3 linked regions of the Drosophila melanogaster genome follow. The gene in region 3 interacts genetically with the main gene of each other region. Each region holds a gene or a part of one and is shown on either strand. Other genes may lie near its edges. The genes, in order: uif, Su(dx) and E(spl)mbeta-HLH.

Region 1 (6,469 bases), on a different chromosome or scaffold from region 3:
CGCCCACCTTGGAAAACTTATGAAATTGTCAACAGCTTTTCAACATGATTAAGCTGCTTTTTGCCGCGAAGAAATAGAGAGCGCTGCAATGACCATTAATTCGCTTTTAGAATGAGTTTGGCATTTGAAGGCACTTTCACTGCCGCCGAGACGGAAGTTGAGAATCCCAATATAAACAAAAATTGAAAATCAAGATCCACAGTTTCGAAAACTTTCGTTGCCGGGAAAGAGTTGATGATTTGAAAATTATTAACCCAATCAAATGGCTATAATTATTTAATGATTTGATGGACGCCAGACATGCAGCAAATAGCCATCTCTATCTCTCTCTTTATAATAATTTACTAGCATGTCGGAAAAGATCTTGGTCCAGATCAGACCGCTGATGGATGGATCTCTCTTAAGACTAACGCCGACAACGCCCTGGCATTCCATTCTTTTAATGGCCAACTGACACTTGATATGCGGCAAGAGATTTGTCATTCATGTGAACCATGCGTAGGACCCATCAGTCCTAATAAACTAGACCCATAATACATTTCATTCCACTAATTTCAACTGACTTCTCGCACTTTCAGTAGGGATTTGAAGATGGGTCTTTACCTGGTATTGCTGTGAATTAAATTCTGGACGTACCCTTTGTTATTGCTCGTTTTTTAGGGTGTGTTTGTGTGTATCTACCTGCCGATACATTGGCATCAGCTGCCAATTATCAAACTTCGAGAAAAGGTCGAAGAATCTAATGCTGAACTCGTCATAGCCCAAATAATAGATGACTTTGTGGCGTTTCTTTCGGGGATTGTTTCCTGCGAAATGGTGGATTAGATCATACAAGTGAAACCGAAACCTTTGTTAGGTAAAAAATTAATTTGAATTAAATTTTCACGAGCAAGACTTTAAAAAAATCGGAGTCACAAAATAACTTTCCAACTCCATTCACGATTTTGTAGCAAAAGTTTTCCAGCGAAGCCCACACAAATCAAAAGACTTAGGCAACAAACTTGCATTCACTTCTCTTGCTTGCAATCCCTATTAAACTCTTAACACACATTTTAGCCACAACTTCCGCTTGTATGCTGTGAGCCAAATACCAATATACAAATTATGACTAAGCCATAGCGACTAAGGCATAAAGCACGCGCTAAAACAAGTTTTACTTGTTCCGATACCTTTTGCCAAGTTATGAAAATGACTTAAGTAGAACTCATCTCCGGAGAGAATCCCTAATCATGGCATGGCAATTTCCATAAAGCAACCAGTTTATTTATATTTGCCAAATAGCTTTGCCAAAAAAAATGAGCTACGATATAAAAAGCAAACACCGAATTTTTGTGGCTTGTTTACAAGTGTGATGAGGGCTTTTTGCATTTGTTCTGCTTTTCACTTTGGTCTGAGTGAAATTTTCTACTACTTCTATGGTTTGTTTCGGTTTCTGTTATTAAGCAACAACAACAACAGCGCGCCGAGTGCGTCTTGAAATTGAGGTTAACTGTTTGGGTAGCTCTCGCTTTTCGACTTTTCGATGGAGTTTTGGGGGTACGGGTATGGGTATGGGTATGGGTACGGGTATAGGGAAGCCGACTTGGCCTTTATTGAATGAATGTGACAACAAAGGCGAGTCAGACACGGCCGGCAGACAATCGAAGCATTTTTTAGGTTTTGTTTAATAGAAAGTAACAGAAATTGTTCTTATTGTTGTTCGGGTGTGCTACTTTTTGTGGATAAGTGGGAATCCATATGGGAGGCTTTATATGGAATACAGCATAACCACTCTCGATACGCCAATTGTTTGCTCAATCAATGGGAATCAATCAATTATTTAAACACAATTAAAACGAAGTTTCATTGCAAATCGTTGGATAAAACGAAAGCATGGCATTGTTTATGGCTTAATTTGTATGTAGACATATGCATAATTAATCGGATTTTTGCGCAATGACTGAAGCCAAAATAAGGCGTGTCTTGAGATTGGCTTTTAATTCATTTGGCTTACTGATTGATAGTTATGAGGTATTATAGAGTGATGGTATGCAATGATGTCAGCTTAAAAGCAGAAGAATATAACGTCATTGGTAGACTAATACTTATACTTAGTATTCAATCCAACCCGCATTTCCACTCTACACTTTTTACTTTGCCACTCTTTTCCGACTCATTCGCTGCCATTTCAATATGCAACTCACCTCTTATAAATGCAGCTTTAGCTGTATATAACCACTATATATGTTCGATACGTATCGTTCGCGACTGCTAGTATTCCAATTTATGTGGCATGTCAGCTGGTTATCCTTGAGGTCAACAAAAGCGACAATAACGACGGTTTCTTTCCCTTTCGCGACGACGGCGGTGTCAGTGTTTTTTATGGCAACTTATTGGTGCGGTTTTCTTTTTATTTATTTAAACTTTTAAATGTACAAGGCCAGTGTTGCACTGCTGGTAGATATTTAAGTTGATTAAAAGTTTTAAAATAAAAGCTGAGCTAAACGAAAACGCGTCACATAAATGTAATTTATGATCGGATAGCCTGACTATCTATAGTTTGTCTAATGGGGATGGGTCTGTTTAATTATGCATGCCGTGGCAGAGATCCGAAACAAGTAAGTCCAAGAATTCTCGTCTGAAGTCGCAGCACGTCTTCGAAATGTGTTGGGAACATTTTGGGATTGAGTTCACAAAAATGTTCGAAGAAATATTTATGTTAATTAGGTGAAAATCTGGTGAGGATAGTCCAAGAAGTATTCCTATTGAGATTTTGGGTCTCTACGATTGGACAACCAAACAAATGACTTAAGACACGAACTTTTTGTAAGTCAAAAATGTTGTTGGTTTCACTTTAACCCCAAAACTGCATTCTATATATTTTTTTCTGTTTAGTTTTTGTGGTTGTTTCTTTTGGCCATTGTGCAAAACACTTGTTGGCCAGTTTCTGGTAGCAGTTGTGGCTTCTTTTTCCGTAAGTTTGTTATTTCTACCCGGTTAATGGGAGCGTAAATGCGCAGCTGGCATGTGAAGTGAGTACCCGAGTGTGTTACTCCCGATGGATGGACTACTTACTCACACAAGTAGTCTAATGTCAGTTGGCAAAGTAAAGTGCAAAAGGCACAGACAAGTTAATGGACTGGTAAAAACCGAACGGCTGGCAAAGAAAACAGGGAGAACAAATTATACTAGAAGTTCAACAACTCGGCTAAAAACAACATAAAATTATTATAGCGGACTACTGCTGACTTCCTATCCTTCATTTGATAAAATAGCTAAAGAAATTCTCGCATTAATTTGTCGTATCTCTACCACTCTTGCATTTAATGTTAGTTATATATTCACTGATTTCGTAGTATTGTCCTCTGTGTTGCAGTTAATCTATTACACTTTTTTTTTTTTCAATTTAAAATTCCTCTTGTTTTTTGCTGCTTCGCATTTAATGGTCAGTTTCCTCATAGAGCACACACGATCCAAGCACGCGCCTCCATTAAAATGCACAGAAATCCTTTTTCGCTAGCCAGCGTACAACGAACACAGGCACAAAATCAAACACTTTGCTGGGCAAAACAATCGAATAAAATCCAGTTTCGAGGCAAATACATTCACAAAATGCACAAGCACTTATTGTTATAGGACACAAAGAGATCTGCAGATCCGGGGAGCGCTTACTGTACCATGTACTGTACCACACGAAGGCCAAACTCAGACTGAAACTTGTTCAGCAAATCAACGCGGTCTGCACCTGAAGTTTCAGTCCACGCACACACACATACACACACTCGTCTACACTCGCCCAAAGACCACAAGACACGACAGCAAAAATGGTAAGAAACTGGCGAAGAGCGGGCCAGAAAGCAGAAAAAAAGGTAGAGAAGAGAGGTAGAGGCGATCGGCAATAGGTAGAAACGTAAGACTGCGAGGCGAGGAAAATAAAACAGCTTAACGTGCCCGTTTTACAGATTTTCCTATGGCTCACTGTATATGTATATCTAGCCTCATCTCGCCAGACTTCTTAACGGCTTTCGTTCGCTCACACTTACTCACTCACTCACTCACTGCCGTACTGAAGAAAACCCAGTCGAATCGATACATACACTTGTCTAGAGTTCGGGTTCGCCGCAGCCTCTTAACGTCCACAACGCGCCACAGTCGAAGGCATACTGAAGCCCCGAAAAGCTTCGTATTTCTTAGGTTTTTTTCACATTTCTATGGTTATCGGTCGGCGAAAAAACAACCGGCATACCGATCGTTATTCGCCGCCGTCGAATTCGGCCGAAATGATGGCTCGGTAATCTCAGCCGGCACTGCGAATTCGCCGCACAAACGCTACCTAACCGATGTTGGCCAAATGCGTGGGCTACACCGCCTAGACGGGATTAGCTGCGGCGTCCTTGTTTCTTGGGAAATTTCGTTTAATTGCCGAGGACATGTGAAGTCGGAGGTGGGTTTTTACCCTCCCTTGATTTTGGGTTGCTTGCTGTTTTCAAACATTCGCACGCAACGGAAGCGGTGGCCGAACGAAAGACTCAAGCAACGAACTTGCTAAAAGGGTTGGCTAACAAAGTAGAGAGCACCATAAAAGTGGGATTGTTACACTTGGCCCTTGGAATCCTTTGGCACTTCTTGCTGCCTCTGTTTGGTTACACACTGCTCTCTCTTGTCCCATTATTTTTTTTATGAAGTCATAAACTGTGCAAAACGTGCGAAATGCTAAACGGAAATGGAATCTACAAATGATCAACAAAAACTACTCATTTAATAGTTAGGGTTATTGCAGGTACTTTTTCAAATCAAGATTATCTTCTCTTTTAAATAACTTCTAAAATTTCTCCCGCAAGTTATCCTTTTTTGTGTGTATAGTTTTCAAAGTGCTTCAAGGATATTCATTGTTTTTAGTATCGATGGCCATTAGAAGATCTTATGCCTTTTTATATTTTGTTCGTATATGTAACCTTACGTCACATCCGTCGCTAAAAGGAATTTCGCACTCGTTTCTTAGGAATTCTATAGAATTGCGCACAACAATTACTATTTATGGTGGGATTTCCCAACCCGAAGGATTTCTATTAAGGAACACTTTATCTCTGTGTGGATGAAGAGTCCAAAAAGGCAAATTGAAGGGGCTTAAGAAAAATTTTGATAACAGTGAGAAACCATCAATGAAAAGTCAGCTGGGATTCTTAGACAAAAAATCAATTCTATATTTGTGGTATGTAAATGATTATTCAATGTTAACTCAATCTTAACTAAATACCATTGTTTGCACTTGGACCTGGTTAAAACCAATTAACTTAGCCGATGAGAATAGCCGAATTTAGAGTTAATTAATTTTAGTTTATCATTCCTTTAACAAGAATGATTTATTAAGCTTTTCACTTCCTTTCTTTTCAAATTAAAAATAAATGCTTGTAAACAGATAAAACGAAAATGATGATAAATAATGCACTGCTTCCAGTAGAAATATAAAGCAGATAAATCGATCCAATTTACACATCCACTGGAATAAAACAATTTAATTATAGGGTACACGCGATCATTAGACTCCCATCTATCCATTTTCGAATAAGTTTTTACTTCCTTCTCAAAAACAGGTCATGATTATTATTTCGGTGCAATTAAAATGTGTCTTGACTTCTTAGGAAGTAGAAAAGGAAATTTAGTTTTCCTAATGCTAAAGCATTAGTTAAGGGAATATGAATAAAGGGAACTATCTAATTACATTTAAAACTTGTTTAGTTTTACAATTCCTTTTGAAAACACAAATTCTTTCCAAATGACACCTTTTATTCTACGCTCCGTTAATCAACAAACAAACACAACACTGCTGCAGGTCGAATATTAAAATAAAAGGCAATACCCTTCCTTAGACGGAAATGTAGACAATTGCAAGCCAATTGAAGAGGGACGATCAGACGGTTGACAAAATCAGTCGTTTGAGCCAGCAGAACGGAAGTTCCATATAGGGCGCACACTCAAATATTCCGATGAGGGTTTTGGATCCGCGTTTAGGTTCTGGGGCGTGCCTGTCCCAATTTGGCCGGAGAAAGTCTTGAAATTTCTATCAGAATAATGTCGTATTCCATTTCCGAACACACACTAAAATCAGTTACCGAAATAAAAACACAAAAATGCCATTTCGTGGAGACAACTTCAAGGACTTTAAAGAAATAAATAAAATTCGAAAGGAGAACAATAAATACAAGTACATCGCTGTTTTCATCACAGTTATACCCGGCATTATATTGGGCGGATTTATGGGCAAGAAATTGGCCCAATTCCTCGAAGTATTTGATCTTTATGCGCCCGATGTCTCGGAAGATGATTAATATAACAACCATGGCGCATATGGAACTTCTACATGGTGAACCAAATGAATTTGGAGCAAACTTGTGCATATCCTGTTTGGATATATGCTAATGTGCCAATCCAAACAGGCCAAACGGGATGCTAGGAAAGAAAACTCAACGCAAACAACTGCCCAGACCGG
Region 2 (9,476 bases), on a different chromosome or scaffold from region 3:
TAATTACATTTATTGCCGCATCGCCGATTTGGCAGCCGACTAAGCGAAAAGCAACCGCAAATGTCGACACAGCAACGCCAAGTATCAAGTATTTCATCCATCGGCCGTGTATCACTAAATAATTTTGCATTTATTTTATATAATACAGTACACATTGCATTAAACTAAATAAAATCTATTTAATATATATATATATATTTAATATGTACTCGTACACAATCAACCCTATATACGCCGCACCTCCTAATCATCCGATTTGTCTTAGTCCGCACTTTTGTGTAGCGTAGTTAATATACGAATCGCCTTTAGTTTTGTTAACAATTATTGCTATTTGAATTCATTATTGGTTTAAGTGTATTCTCGTGTTTGTCGTTTAAAATCCTAACGTATTTTGTTTGTTTGTTTGCGGTGTTTCAAGTTCTCACTTCTCACGATGTCTGCGTCGTTAGTGTGGATATACATATTTAAAATATAGTTTCTATTTAAAGTTCTGTGTATGCTCGATAAACAATTGAACAGCTAAAACAGTTTGCCAGTACACCAAACTCAGCTCGTCAACAATTCGAATTCGGTCGAGTAAACTATTTACAGTGGAGCGTATCAATATAAATTCACCAATTGTGGTTAAAAACATGCAAGCCGGGGCTCGTTGTACAATTGAACTAGAAGCAATCAGAGTGCAATCTTATGGCGAAAACGTAACATTTAGTTGCGATTGCTAGACAGTTTGATGTGATCCAAACGGATGGATGCCCTAAGCAAGCCCAAGTTCAAATTTGAATATATTCTGGGAATGGCGGTGCTTAAGTTCTTAAAGGCTTAGCTGAAGCTAAACGGTAGGTGGTTTTATTTATCGGCGTAAAACAAGGATCCAAAGAAATGTATGACAATTACATTTGAAGATAGATGGTCGTAAGAAATATCAACAGAAGCGAATCAATCAAACTTTGTCTTAAATTTACACAGGAGAGTTATGCAGTGGATAAATTATGCCTAACAAATTATAAATATCTCTAAAATAGGCTCTCAATACATTCATACATAGATTGTTCTCAAGTTTCGTGCACTTTTAACAAATATCTCGTGTGATATCGGTTGCGAACATAGGAATAGACAGACAGAAGTGTGTGTTTCGTGTTTACAGTATACAGTAGTAATACATACGTATGTAATAATAATAATAACAGTAACTATTTAACGCAACGTGGTCGTCAAATGGAAAGGGGGAGGGGACGGTAAAGCAGGCGCTTAACTGGAATTAAACATTAATCAACAAACCGACCACAAATCGACTGCCACTCATTCCTGGCAGAAGCCCTCAGTCTCCTCGATGGCAAAGGTCAGCTTCTCCACCAGCTGATCGTAGCTCTTGTACGGCGGCAGGTCCAATCGATTGAAGCAGGTGTGCGAGCGCGGCAGCCACGTCTCCTTGCCCACCTTCTCGATGCAGAAGCGCTGCGGCCCGTTGGAGCCCATCAGCTCGGCGAATCCTCCGACCGGCACGCGACACGTGCCCGTCACAAACTGCAGCAGGCGAGCTCGCTTCTCGTTATCCGTCTCGCGAACAAACTGTGGAGCCAATTATCCGGATTAGCGAATGGAAAGGGCACAAAGAACACAAAGGAACCCACCTGCCAGAACCAGACAACTTGCTTGGAGTTGCGGTTGTAGTGCCTGTAGATGGTGTTGCGCTGCCAGTCCTCCACGTCCACGTCCTGCATGCCGCACAGAATAAGCTCCAGCTCGCGCTCGTCAAAGTACTTGAGCCATTCCAGGGGCACCACCTCATTGAAGCCTTCCAGGAACGTCTTTGTCTGCTGCTCAATGCCACTGCAATAGGAATCAGTTAATACCGAGTCAAAAATGACACCCATATTGACAACATATTGTCGTTTATCAAGTAAAATGCATACCGTGTCATCCGCCACTCCGTCATGAGGGTGATGTACTCCTCCTTGTTCTCCTCCGTGACGCGCTCCTTTTCCCCGTTCTCCTTCAACTCATGATGGATTATCTGACCGAGCACTTCGAAGTCCACGCTAAACCAGAGCTCCAATCCACACTCATCGATGTTGTTATCTTTTACCCAGATAAGTGAGTTGTAGAACTCCGGATCGATCGTTTCGATGTCCTTGATGGTCAACTTCTTGTTCAGCATGCGCTTGTAAAATGGCATTGTGAATCCACTGTAGATAAACCTTCCATGATACAGGGCCATCGCAATAAAGCGACCGATGAACTTGAAGTACTGCAGGTGATCGGGGTTCACGTACGAGGCGGGATTTATCTGCAGGCTGTAGTTGTTCTTGTTCGCGTACTCAAACAAGCAGTACATGGGATTCAGAACCTCGTGGGAGAGCAAGAAGAACCACTCGCGAGATACACCACCATAATCCAGTCCCTCCTCGCCGCGGAATATGATATAGAGCCGCCTTCGCAGTTCGTAGGCTGGCAGACGCATGATCTGGTGGTATGAATCCTCGAACAGGGTTTGTCGCGTCACCGTGATCTTGATGTGCGATGGCAAAGCGTTGCTCTGGCACAAGTACCGGAACTGCGACAGCTTCCAGCGGAAGCTGCGTTCGTAGGCGCGTGGCACTCCGTACACTCCCTTGGCGCCCTTCGGAGCACCGGGTCGAGGATCTTCGAAGGTGGTTCGTCTCGTGTTGTGATCTACGAAGAAGCGCTCACCGGCGGCTGTATAGCGGATTTCCCAGCCGGGTGGAAGCGGGCCCTCGTTGATCAAGCTCACCTCCTGGCCCTGCGTGCGTGGATCCTCCCACTGGGTGGTTCGGTTCTTGTGGTTAACAAAGTACACTCTGTTGTCCGATTGGATCTGCGTAAGGATTAAGTAAATAAAGGAACGAGTTAAAATAAATACTTTTTCTAATCTAGACAAACGGCTTTACCTTCTTCTCCCAGCCATCTGGTAGTGGACCCAGTGCATCCTCGTCGTCCTGCGTCACCTGGGCTGTCACCGCCGTTGGTTGCTGCTGCTGCTGGGAGTACAGGTATCGCTGGTTGCCTTGAGACACGACGTGGGCCCGCTGACCCTGCCAGTGCTGGAAGTGCATCAGACGCTCACTGTTCGGCCGCTGCCAGGTAGTTTTTCTTGTGTTGTGGTCTACGTAGTAAACTCGACCGCGCCCATCCTTCCTGATCTCCCAGCCCGGGGGCAGCGGTGTCGGTTTCTCCCAGTATGTGGATCGTGTATTGTGATCTACGTAGTATCTGCGACCGTACTGGTCCAGACGGATTTCCCACCCTGCAGGCAGCGGCTCATCATCCGCTGGTTGTGTCTGCAGTTGCGGATCTGTGCTTTGGCTCACGGGCAGTCCAACTCCTGGCTGTTCAATTGGTGGGCCTGCTACTCCAGGTGGTCCTACTGCTGCTCCTCCTCCAGCTGGCAAATAAACAGCAGCTGGTTGTGTATTCTCTGGCAGCGCTCCGTACACTTGGGTTAGAGGACGAGCTAGTGCGGGAGCTGGTGGCTGCTGAGGATACGGAGCTGTCTGCGGCACGGCCGCCCCACTGCCATTGACCATTCTCAGGGGCTGCTGTTGATTCTGGGATTGCTGCTGTTGCTGTTCCCACACCGGGGGCGCCTGCGTAGATCTCCTGTGATCTCCACCTCCATTCGGCAGAGGAGAGCGGGTCTCTCCGCCGTTGCTATTTCCACTGCTCGAGCGTAGTCGCATCCGTGCCCGTACTCCACCGTAAATCATGCAACTTCGTCCGGCGGCCGCATCACTGACCACCGACGGATTGACCGCCTGGACGGGTGGATTGCCATTCTGTTGGCCAGCCACTGGCTGAATCTGCAGCTTGCTCATATCGAGTTTGAGGCCATTGAGGATGGCCACTAGTTCGCCGCTCTTCGTCTGGCGATTGTCCGACTTGCTGGTGACGAACAGGTCGATGGTCAGCTCAAGGAACTCGCACCGCCCATTGTAGTGCTGCAGAATGTGCGCCAGGTTGATGATCCGCTCTCCAAGCATGGCATCTTTACGGAAACTGGAGTGATCCAGCACTTTGAAGTGCAGCGTTGAATTGGGTGTAATCTAGAGACGATAGATCCCGTGGATATTACAAATAATTGACTTTTATTACTGTTTCTACTCACCAGCACTGTGAACTCCTCGTTCCACTTGGGCAAATAGCTGTTCTTCACCAGGTCCGTTTTCCGCTTGCTTTTGCTGTCAATCAAGAGCTCCACGTAGGGATTTGGCTTGAGGAAGCCATTGTTGCGCAGCGAAGCCTCCTCGACTGAAAGGATTTGGGGCCATTATTGATTGAACAGAATGTTTCACTTTCTTTTGTTTGCTCACTTGTCACGCTTAATTGATGATATCCTTGATTGGCACTCCCACTGGCCCCCGCCCCCGAGCTGGAGGTGGGCGTGGGGCTGGCGGATCCCGCTCCATTCACTGTCTGCCCGGCTTCCATGCCGCCGGAAGCTGCACCCGCTGGCAGCCCATTTCCATCGGCCATTTAGTGGCTGAGTGTGTGAGTGCTCCTGGTGCTCCGCCTCCTCCTCCGCCTTATATTCCTCCCTTTGAGTGAAGAGAAAGCCAGTATTGAGCACGCTGCTATTGAATATTGGTGGTGGAAAGTATCGAATGGGGGGAAATTGCGTGTTCTGGACTGATAAGATAAGTCCGGAACACGGTCTACATACGTAAATGGTTTATCAATACCCAAAAATGTACAATGCTGTTGAACAGGAAGCTTTTATAGAGTGGAAATAACTATCCGAATAAAAGTGTTGTACACACTTTTGCTAGGTTTACAGATTACCAACAGGCCTTTATGGGAACCCTGAGTGATTTACTAAGCACTTTTTAGGTGTTATGCAGTTTTCCTTAGTCGCTTTAAGCTCTCGACTACTTATACACCTGATCTTAGAAGGCAGATAATGCCAGCTCTATATCATTATGAAAGCGACTATCCGCAGATAAGATATGGCCTGTATAGCTTTGTGTATTATATAGTGTGTAAACGACAGTATGGCAACAAAACTGTTTGCGAATAGGCCTTCACTTTTTTGGTGAAATAAACTGCTCGAACAAATTGTGAGCTGTAAAATCGGCGCTAATGTATGTACAGTGCAACTCGGTCATATATGAAAGATAAAAATTATGCTATTTCAAGCGAAATTAATCATGACCAAACTGGGTAAACAGTTTATTAAAAAACTGAGTAATGTTTCTGATCCCAAAATATATTCTTTGACTAAGTGAGGCTAGAGTTCTAAATTATTGAAAGAAACTTGTATTACTATAGAAATTCCCCCAAATAAATATATAAATGCACTGATAAGTGCACTTGATTTCGTGGACTTTAAACTACTGGGAAGCACCGTATTATCGCCTATTAATTTTCTCCATAATTTGCGACTGCCACGGCTGTGTGCGTGTGTGTTTCCCTGTACTTTTTCGTACACACTCAGCACCGATTGCTGGTCATCCATAACTTTGATAGCAAACACCCCGCTACACAATAGATTGTATAATAATGTTGCCATGTGAGTCATCGGCTCAACGCGAAAAAGAAAACGGCAAGTGAATTCGGTTTCAATTGTTGAATGGCTATTGCATATTGATTGTGTGCAGGAAGCAACATGGCCGATATGGCGATACACAAGCCCACAAATAAGTTATTTTGTTATATATCGTCAGAACTGAAATCTCAATGCTTTAATGACTTCTTCGCTTTGCTTATCGGCATGCTGATAACTACCATGATTTTCTCGCTGTGTACCGTTCGCGATTTCTCTTTTGCTAGCGTTTTCACTACATTAATTAACCGAGAACACGTGAGCAAGTGCAGCTTGTTGTTTACCATTAGTGTCTACTCATCAGATTCTGTGACCGGATTGAAATCGATTTGGAAGGGCTTTGCATGGATCTGAATGGGACACAGTTCTCCGATCAATTAGCACGCACTTTCCGGCTCATTTCGCCTATCATTCGAGCGCTTATCAGTGGGCCGATGAACAAAGGGAAGCTATCTGGTGGGGCAGCCGGAGCGCGAGCCAAGCGAAGTAATCAGCAACAGCTGTCAATAAGCCTAGAATGCACTTCTCGCTCGATGGATGGGGAGGGGTGGTGGAGGGAGGGGAACTTGAACTTCCTTGAATTATCGACCGCAGGGCTTAGTCACCCACACAGCGCCACTATGCTACAGTACACACATATATATGTGTAGATATATATTTATTCGTGGTCATGTAACGCACGCCAGAAAGAAGGTAACTACCTCTCCCACTCCCACTCCTTCTGTGGGTGGGCGTGTGTGTGTTTGTGTGTGTGCGCTTGTAATTGAGGCAAAGGTCGCGACTTCCGTCCCGCTCGCACTCGCTGCCGCCGCTCTACCGCTGGCGAATTCCAATGCAAGAGGCGTTCCTTTTTGTTTTTAGCAATTTCTGGGGGTTTCTCCTCCTCCGTTTTCCTTTCCTTTCTACCTGTGTCTTACCTTCTGCTGCTTCTTCTTCTGCCTCTGGTGCTCCTACAACTTGCGCCTGTGTGTGTGGTTGTTGTCTCCTGTGTGCGGCTGCATGTGCGAGTGTGTGTGCGGGATTCTTAACTGGGTTTCCCGGGCCCCAAAATTGATGGCTGGATTATTGCACTAGTTGGCGCTGCCGCCCTCGCTTTGGTCCACGTAATCGCGAGCAGTTGATATCGCTGCACTAATTGTTTATTTGTTATTTTGCTTCGCTTGCAAGCAGCAATTTCTAGAGCTGCAACTTTGGACGATGTTTTTCGATACAACTGATGTGGCCACTCAGTGCGCGAATCGATAGGTTGAATTCAATTGGCGAGGCTTGTTATGCACGCTAGACTGGGTTGGCGTACTCGCTATATTGCCAACTTACATGTTCAACCAGAGTTGCCGTACAAGCTCAAAATGGAGTAGCCAACCAGATTTGAAAATGACCGCGAATAGGAATTAGGAATAAAAATAAGAACGTATTGCCCGTAGTCACAACAAAACAAAGGTAAATAATTAGCCAAAAAGTTATGCACCAGCTAGTACTTCTGGCCCCTCTGATTTTATTGGAATCTAAGCTTATTACTCCATATAAATTAGAAGCCCCCTGAATATTCATTACTCAGTTGCGTTGCTCATTGAATTTCTTTAAATGTTATTTAATTTTGTGGTGCTATTGAATAAATATAAAAGCGCGGATTCAGTTCATCGAATAACATAGTGTTTGGCAGTAAAAAGTGCTTACAATGCTAAAATCCGCAAGTGCTTTGCTATGTGGTCTTCTTGCTTTAAATTTGTATGGAGCTTGGGCAGAATCCGATGTGATTTGTCCTTTAAAGGACCCTCCTAGTCAATGTGGAGGATTCTGTCTGGGTGTACTTACGCCCGTGTTAAATCACCTGACCATTTCCCAAAATCTGGCGAATTCCAATAATTCAAGCAAGGCTAACGAGGTCCTGGTGAGACAGTACACGATGGAAGGCCAACTGACTGCTCTGCAGAATAAGCAACTAAGCATTGAAGTCGCACTGGATGCCCAAGGCAGAAAACTGAATGTTAACGAACAGAACTTTACTGAACGACTGAATTGCATGGAAGGCATACTGTCGGCCCTGGAGAAAACAGTCCTTGAAGTAAAAACCAAAATAAAATACCTCGGATTCGAGCAAATCGGCTCAAAGTACTATTACATAGAGAAAGTATCCGAGAAGAACTGGTCCACTGCTTCAAAAACTTGTCGCAATATGGGAGGGCACCTGGCCGACATTAAGGACGAGGCAGATCTAGCCGCCATCAAGGCGAATCTCAAGGAGGACACGCATTACTGGCTGGGAATCAATGACTTGGACCACGAGGGAAAATTCTTGTCCATGCCCACGGGCAAGCAGACTACCTTTTTGAAATGGGCCTCGGGGAGACCCTCTCAGTTGGACACCCTCAACTGCGTGTTCCTATACAACGGGGAAATGTACGATTACCCATGCCACTATACTTTCCGGTTCATTTGCCAGACCGAGGAGGAAGATTTAAATGTATGATTTAAATAGAAACCACATGAGAATAATAAAACCTTTGCTGATGCCGTAACACCTGTGATTTTTTATTCAATCCCTCAAGCCTTCATTAGCTTATCTCTATTACTCACTTTATGGTTACTAAATTTACCAGTTTCACGTTATATTGCACTTTTAGACAAACAAACTGCGCACAAAAAGTGAAATTTCCTTGATTCTCCGATCTTTCCAGTAGCACAAAAACTATTTGTTTAAACAATTATTAGCACTCGTTTTAAATACGAGCACTGAGAGCGGAGAGTCCAAGAAAATTCGTCGTATACCATGTTGTTTGTTCGCTTTCGGACTTTTTCACACATTGTCAAGAGTTTCAGAGAACGCGGCTCAAAGTGAAAATTATCAAAATTTAATGTGCCGACCGCTCCGCATCCGCAGTCATTCGTATCGCGGGCTTCGAACGGAGCAGATCGGAACTTACGGCTACGGACTTCGCACTACGGTCGGGAAGGATTACGCGAAGAGGATACGCGAAAAGGATACGCGATGAGGCAGCTGCTGGTTTACGCGTTGGTCGCGGGCTTGTTTTACTTTTCCGAAGGTAAACTCCACCAGCAAGTGTATTGTGCCAGATTTAAATCAGTTTTGGTTTTCCTACTTTCAAAGGAAAGTGTTCATGAATTCATAAACGTAATTCACTGAAGTATCCTAAAAAATAAAAAATGCCTTGAAATGAATAGTTACAATTATTACAAGAAAGTGAATAGCACCTTCCATTGCTTTAAAAATATGTACAAAATGAAACCATGTAGGAAAACCAAAACTTATTATTCGGAAATCTCCGCTAAAGTCGAAGTGCTTTTCCCATGTTAATGTGAACATTACTCCTTTTCCCATTTCCGCACTGGCTTAACGCAGGCAAGCCGTGCCCCGAAAAGACACGCCCCCACAAAACCCGCTGCGACGCCTTCTACAAGTGCCGGGAACTGCCCTCCAACTCGCACGTTTGGATTCCGGTGAAGTGCAACGAGGGATTGGTGTTCGAGTCCAGTTTGGGCAGCTGCGTTCTGCCTGGCGAGGATTGGGAGTGCATCACCCCGAGTGAGATGAGCTCCACGCAGTCGCCACCTGGGAGGCCGGACGCGGACATACTGATAGTCAACGACATGGACGAGGCGGGTCTGCTTTTGAGCGACTCCAGTCACAAGGACGATGGCACCGTGGAAATAATTCTAGACTCCACACTGAGCAGTGAGGAGAATGAGGTTAATGAGGAGGCGGCCAAGAGCAAGCCGCAGCCGGAGGAGGACTTCTCTTCCAATCACAACTTCGACTCGAGCGGCGATGGGGAGCTGGTGGAACTGGATTCCCCCGCTGGTCTGAAGCCCGAGAACCGCGAGGAGGTGACTTCCAGCAGCATGGAGCACAGAACAGAGGTGGAAAAGCTAAGAACGGAACTTAAACAGGTGGCTGGTA
Region 3 (5,226 bases):
CAAGCTACAGTGTAGAATTTACGAAATATTCTAGTTATGAGCAAACCAATTTTGAGTCATCATTGGCTTTTGTTCCTGAGTTAATCAGGTATTAGATAGATATGGAAATGATACCCACTCTGAAGTCAGCAAACATCACATTTAATAACCTCTTATGAATGACGCACGTTTCGGCAATAAATGAAAACCAAAGCCGACAAGCTGAATGGGAACCCCTCTAGATCAGTTTCGCCAACGAAGCCATCCAATTAGCCCCCGGCAATGGCCAACATTGCGGCACTTAGTCAATCTTGGAGTGAACTGATCGCCTTTCAACTGGTCCATCGCAAAATAGATCACCCATTTTCAGCAGACTACCGTTGAGCCCTATAAATAGCCGTTTTGTAGTCCACAACAAAAAAAAGCACAAAATAAGCGGAGAAGCGCTAACTTGGCCGTCTCGATGCCAATGTTACGTGACTAATAACATTTTCTGAAGATTAACAGCAATCAGCGACGGCTTGAACGGTCCCAGACTCGAGACGACCTGGTAAGTAGTCATCATCATAGTTGTCCGCCAGACAAAGGCGCTGAATCCGAGGTTCCGTAATCGAACCGCACTCCGATACACATACCCCATACCCCTACCCCAATCCCAGCCCCTATCCATACCCATACAGTATTGGAGTTTTAAGACTTAAGTGCCGAGACGGTCGCGGTCGCGGGCTTAATTTGCAATGTCTGACCGCCGGTCCGTCCGCGCATGTGCCAAGCGGTCAAGCGCAGTTAAAGCTGTCAAAGCCTGAACAAAAAAAAACTAAAAAAGAGCAAAATCTTAAAAAAAAAGCGAAACACAATGACCACAATGCTGAGCCATTGACAGCGGAGCCGCGGTTCTCACACTCGGCGGGCCTCATAATAAATGCCGTTTCCTAGAACTGACTTTTTGCTTTATTTTATTATTTAATTGCGACAGCGCCGGCGCAAAACTTCCCGCAGATATACGTATGTATGTTGTATGCCCCCTGAAAGCCCCGCATACCCTCGCAATCCGAATTCTCGGGGCATAATGAGGCCAAGCCGGAGAGACCAGACGATAGTCCGAGTGTGGGAAAATATTCAGCGACTTCCGGCTGTGGGCTCTGCGATTCGGTTCACCACGGAGTTTATCTCCAATTCGTTTCTTGTTTTAAGGGGTTTCTTTTTTTTAGTTGCTTTAGTTTGCGGTTGGACGCCCACTAAATGTCTGGGAAGTCTGAGTAATCAGCTCTATGGGAAATAAGTAAATGCAGAGATTCTTGAGTTGGAATTTCATTTATTTTCATTTCTTTATGACTTTAAGAAGTGAGCAGCAGCCATCTCTATAGCCGAAATTTGAGGCTCTGCTAGAGATGATCGGTGGCTCTGCTGGGCTGCTGGGAAAGCTATTCCTGGGCAGCAATTGATGATCTCCAAGGAGTTCGGTGCGGTTTCAAGTCCAGCACCTCTTTGGGGCAACAAATTTGTAGAAGCCTTCCGCTTGAAGGCGATTCAGGTGAATATCATCCGGAGTCCAGTTGATCACCAGGGACGCCACATGGGGCCAGAGGTGGAGCTGGCCTCGCTGGGCGCCGGGCTGCAGGCTCCGCTCTCCAAGCTGTCGCATTCCGAGGGAGGTGGAGTGACCATAGCTTGATCCTCTACTGGAGCTTGAAGAGGCACTCCAATGGGCAGCGAGGGAACCACCACTTGCAGGTAGTTGAGACGATGGCCAAGGTGACTCATCAGCTGGGTGCCGAGATCCACACTCACTCCGGGTACAGCGGCCAAGGTTTTGGACACTTCATTGGCAGCATGAACGTAGCCAGCACGGAAACTCTCAGCGATGCTAAGCTTGGGATCGGCACTCGGAGACACTCCACCGGTGACGCTGGACAGACGCAGCTGCTTCTGGGCACGCAGCTTCTTCATGTGCTCCACGGTCAGCTCCAGGATGTCGGCCTTCTCCAGCCGGGTGATGTGCTCGCCCTCCTGGGTCAGGCACTCCACCATGATGTCCTTGAGCTCGTCCAGGCACTTGTTAATCCTGGCACGGCGCTTACGCTCCAGCATGGGCTTCATCACCTTGCGGTACTGATAGGTCTTGGACATCTCCATTTCCAGAACCATTTTGTTGTAGTTTGGTTTTGTTTTTTTTTTATTGGGGGTAAAGTAAACTCGCGTAATCCACAGTCGCAACGTTCCACTAGATTCGGACTCGGAGACTCTGTGTGCACGCAACGAAGTCGGAGCTTTGAATGAGTCGGCTGGCTCTGGGATCGGCTTTATATAGCCTCTGCCGCCCTGGGAACTGGACAGTGAGTGCGAGCGGGACACTCATTTTGCCTCGTGCGCGGCCTGCTGCTGTTGCCAGCGGTGGTTTCAGATGGCTTGGTGGTGCTTGGTTGTGGTAGTGGTGGTGGTGGCTTCTGTTTTTTTGTATACTTTTGCCTGTATATGTGAGGGCAATAAAATGACTTGAGCGGGCTGCGCCTTCTCGCTCTCTCTCCCTCCCTCCTTATGTATGTGCTGTGATTGTTATACCGTGGGAAACTGTTTCGCAGCCGATTTCCACGACGACGACGATGACGACGGCTGGCCTGACTTCTTCTGATTGTGCATGCTTGGGGTCTTGTACGATCCCTCGTCCCTCGTCTTTCCGTCCACCGTCTTTCTTGAGCGGACGGACGGATGGACGGGCCGCCTTTAAGAGGTCTGTGCGACTTGGGATCCCAGATACGATGCGAGGCGAGCACATGCCTTCCATCCATAACAAGATGTTTGCATTTCAATTCATTTGTATGGTCGACTATGGTCGGGGTCCGGTCTTTTGGGCTTCAATTCGGTGCGGTTGGGTTCGGTTCGGTTCGGTCTCAAGTCTTGCCATGTGCCTTCACCCTTTTGCAGTAGCTTATGGCACGCTGATAATTGTGGAATCGTCATCGGGCCAACCCGAGACGGGCCAGTGTTTCTGTTTCTTGCTTTTTTGTTAGCGCTTTATGGATCATTGATTGGATCGTGGTAGTCGTGGGTTTCGTGGGACGAGCATTACGCTTTTCGTTTACATGATTATTCTTGATTGTCGGTTGGGGATCGTTTGGGGATCAGCTGCAGTTCGGTTGGGGGTTTTGGGTTCGCTTGGGGATCTTGGGTCGTCGCTCGCTTCTATTTGTAGACAATTACCATAGCGACTTCGGGCTGGGAACCGATCGAAGTCGACGTGTGCGCGAAAGTCGGTTACAATCGTAATGGCTGTTGCCAGCACACGCTATAAATGTTATGGCTCGTGGGCTATACGCGATATATGTATATGTATGTATACACATTTAGCACATTCGGTATTTATTTTTAACGCTATATCGTCGTGATTCATCAGCTTGAGATGCTAGATCTCCATCCGCCGGCATCTGACACATCTCGGATCCTAAGCTCGGGTTTCTCAACATTTAATTAGAAGTGCCGGCGACGATGACGCTCGCTGGCGTTCATTGAAAATGACACGAGCCCGGCTCATTGGCACACAAATAAGGAATAACAAAAGCTCCGAGACGGCAGCTACTCGATCACTATGTGTATATAAATTCAAACTCAAATAAGACAAATTAAGATTGCCCCTCGACGCATTCGAAATGAGCTACAGTTAGCCGAAACAAAGCAGCAACGGTGATAAACGGGCCAAGACACAAACGGCTAACAACTTATCTAACCGAAACGTTTTGTCCGCTGGACCGGGACACTTAAACTGTTGATGTCAAAAAGCTGAATGCTCCGGAAATGCTTAATTGGATTTTATGGGTCGGCAGTGTGTCAAACTGTTCGTCAGAGGGTGGTGGTTGCATTTTTGGGGTGAGTTAGTCGCATGATATTTGCAACAACCAATTAAGAAGTAATTCATATTGGATTATTAAAGAAACAATACTATAAAAAATATGGAAAAAATATTTCAAAAATTTAAAGATTTTTAAAAACAATTTAGCTACAATTGTAGATAACACGTTAAATTAAGAAATATTTTGTAATAACAATATAATCCATTTATATAATCCATTCATTCAACTAGCTTAAATTAAAAGCTAAATAGTATAGGGGCTCCAATTGTAATTCGGAAGTTCCAATTTTCATGTAGTAGCTATAAATGCCTTTAAACGCCACTGAAAGACTTTTCTAGCTTAACAACTGAATCACTGTCGTAACTCGAATCATTAATACCAATTGTAGCAATTAGAGGAAACCCAGTGGACGAGCACGTGCCCCCAATAGAATTCATCGAGTGTGCCCCTATAGCTTGAAATGCAGAAACCTAATCTGCTGCCCATTCCGAAAATATAATATGGAATAATAAGGTAGTTATTTCACAAATTTCATCAGATTCTGCAATGCTCGTTGGGGTGTAGCGCATATGGTCAAGTCGCTTAAGACCAACTGGCCTTTATACACCCAATCATCCAAAGATACAGCTACACATACAAAAAAACATATATCGCGAAGACCTCATTTCTCTCGGTTTATTATTTCTCTTGCTTGCTTTTTTTTAAATTTTGTGCTTCATTTTTTTTTTGTCGATGGCATACGCACGCGCGAATTTCAGTGCCCCCGCGGAGTTGAGCGATCGCCCGAGGGGGTGGAGCGGTAAGGGGCGGGGCACGAGAGCGTGCAAAACTCGGAGATGGAGACCAGAGACCCAGAGCAACAACACCAAGCAGTGTGTATGGCCATAGCGTGTTGTTGAATTAATTTATATCCAACAGTGCGCTTTCAACTTTATTGCGCCGCGAAAAGCAGCCAGCCAAGTCAGCAGTCGTCGGTGGGGCTGCCCCCTCTCAAAAAGCCCCCCGCTTAAGCCCCACTTGAAAGCCCCCCGCAAACCCACAGATACACCACAGCTCACAGATACAACGCACACCAAGGCAACGCCAGACCGTGGGAAACAAACTCGTGCCAGTCGTTTCATTGCTGTCAAATAATATCTTGATGGGGATCAACTTGAAAAGATTGGTTGGGGCTTGGGCCCGAGCTCAGTCCGCCGCTCCGGGTCTCCGTGTCCGTCCCGTTGGCCCTCATTCGCTGGTTGCCGCTGTTTAGGATGCGGTCGACGCTTTTGTGTTTTTTTTTTATTTAGCTTTTCTCATTTTTTTCGTATTTTTCAGATCTCTTTTTTAATGCTTTACACATTTGTTCGTCATAGCCGCGTGTTAAGTATGTGTGTCCATGTCTCTACACTCGATAAAA

Evidence for each region.
Region 1: of E(spl)mbeta-HLH (region 3) and uif, changing one suppresses a phenotype caused by changing the other (phenotypic suppression), as found in Drosophila melanogaster (one study listed by BioGRID).
Region 2: of E(spl)mbeta-HLH (region 3) and Su(dx), changing one enhances a phenotype caused by changing the other (phenotypic enhancement), as found in Drosophila melanogaster (one study listed by BioGRID).

The regions. Positions count from the first base shown.
Region 1 is NT_033779.5:7,006,217-7,012,685, forward strand, and holds the start of uif (uninflatable), read right to left. Parts: upstream 4,144-6,469; 5' UTR 4,077-4,143; intron 3,694-4,076; exon of another isoform or gene 3,657-3,693; intron 2,434-3,656; exon of another isoform or gene 2,431-2,433; 5' UTR 2,184-2,430; intron 1-2,183. Other genes in the region: CG43321 (uncharacterized protein), read left to right, coding at 6,111-6,308.
Region 2 is NT_033779.5:2,035,007-2,044,482, reverse strand, and holds Su(dx) (suppressor of deltex), read right to left. Parts: upstream 6,770-9,476; 5' UTR 6,259-6,769; intron 5,956-6,258; exon of another isoform or gene 5,842-5,955; intron 4,751-5,841; exon of another isoform or gene 4,679-4,750; intron 4,554-4,678; 5' UTR 4,492-4,553; coding exon 4,329-4,491; intron 4,267-4,328; coding exon 4,124-4,266; intron 4,062-4,123; coding exon 2,910-4,061; intron 2,837-2,909; coding exon 1,914-2,836; intron 1,831-1,913; coding exon 1,632-1,830; intron 1,570-1,631; coding exon 1,300-1,569; 3' UTR 111-1,299; downstream 1-110. Other genes in the region: lectin-22C, read left to right, coding at 7,236-8,027; CG42296 (uncharacterized protein), read left to right, coding at 8,547-8,601, 8,919-9,476.
Region 3 is NT_033777.3:26,003,767-26,008,992, forward strand, and holds E(spl)mbeta-HLH (enhancer of split mbeta, helix-loop-helix), read right to left. Parts: upstream 2,258-5,226; 5' UTR 2,128-2,257; coding exon 1,540-2,127; 3' UTR 1,280-1,539; downstream 1-1,279.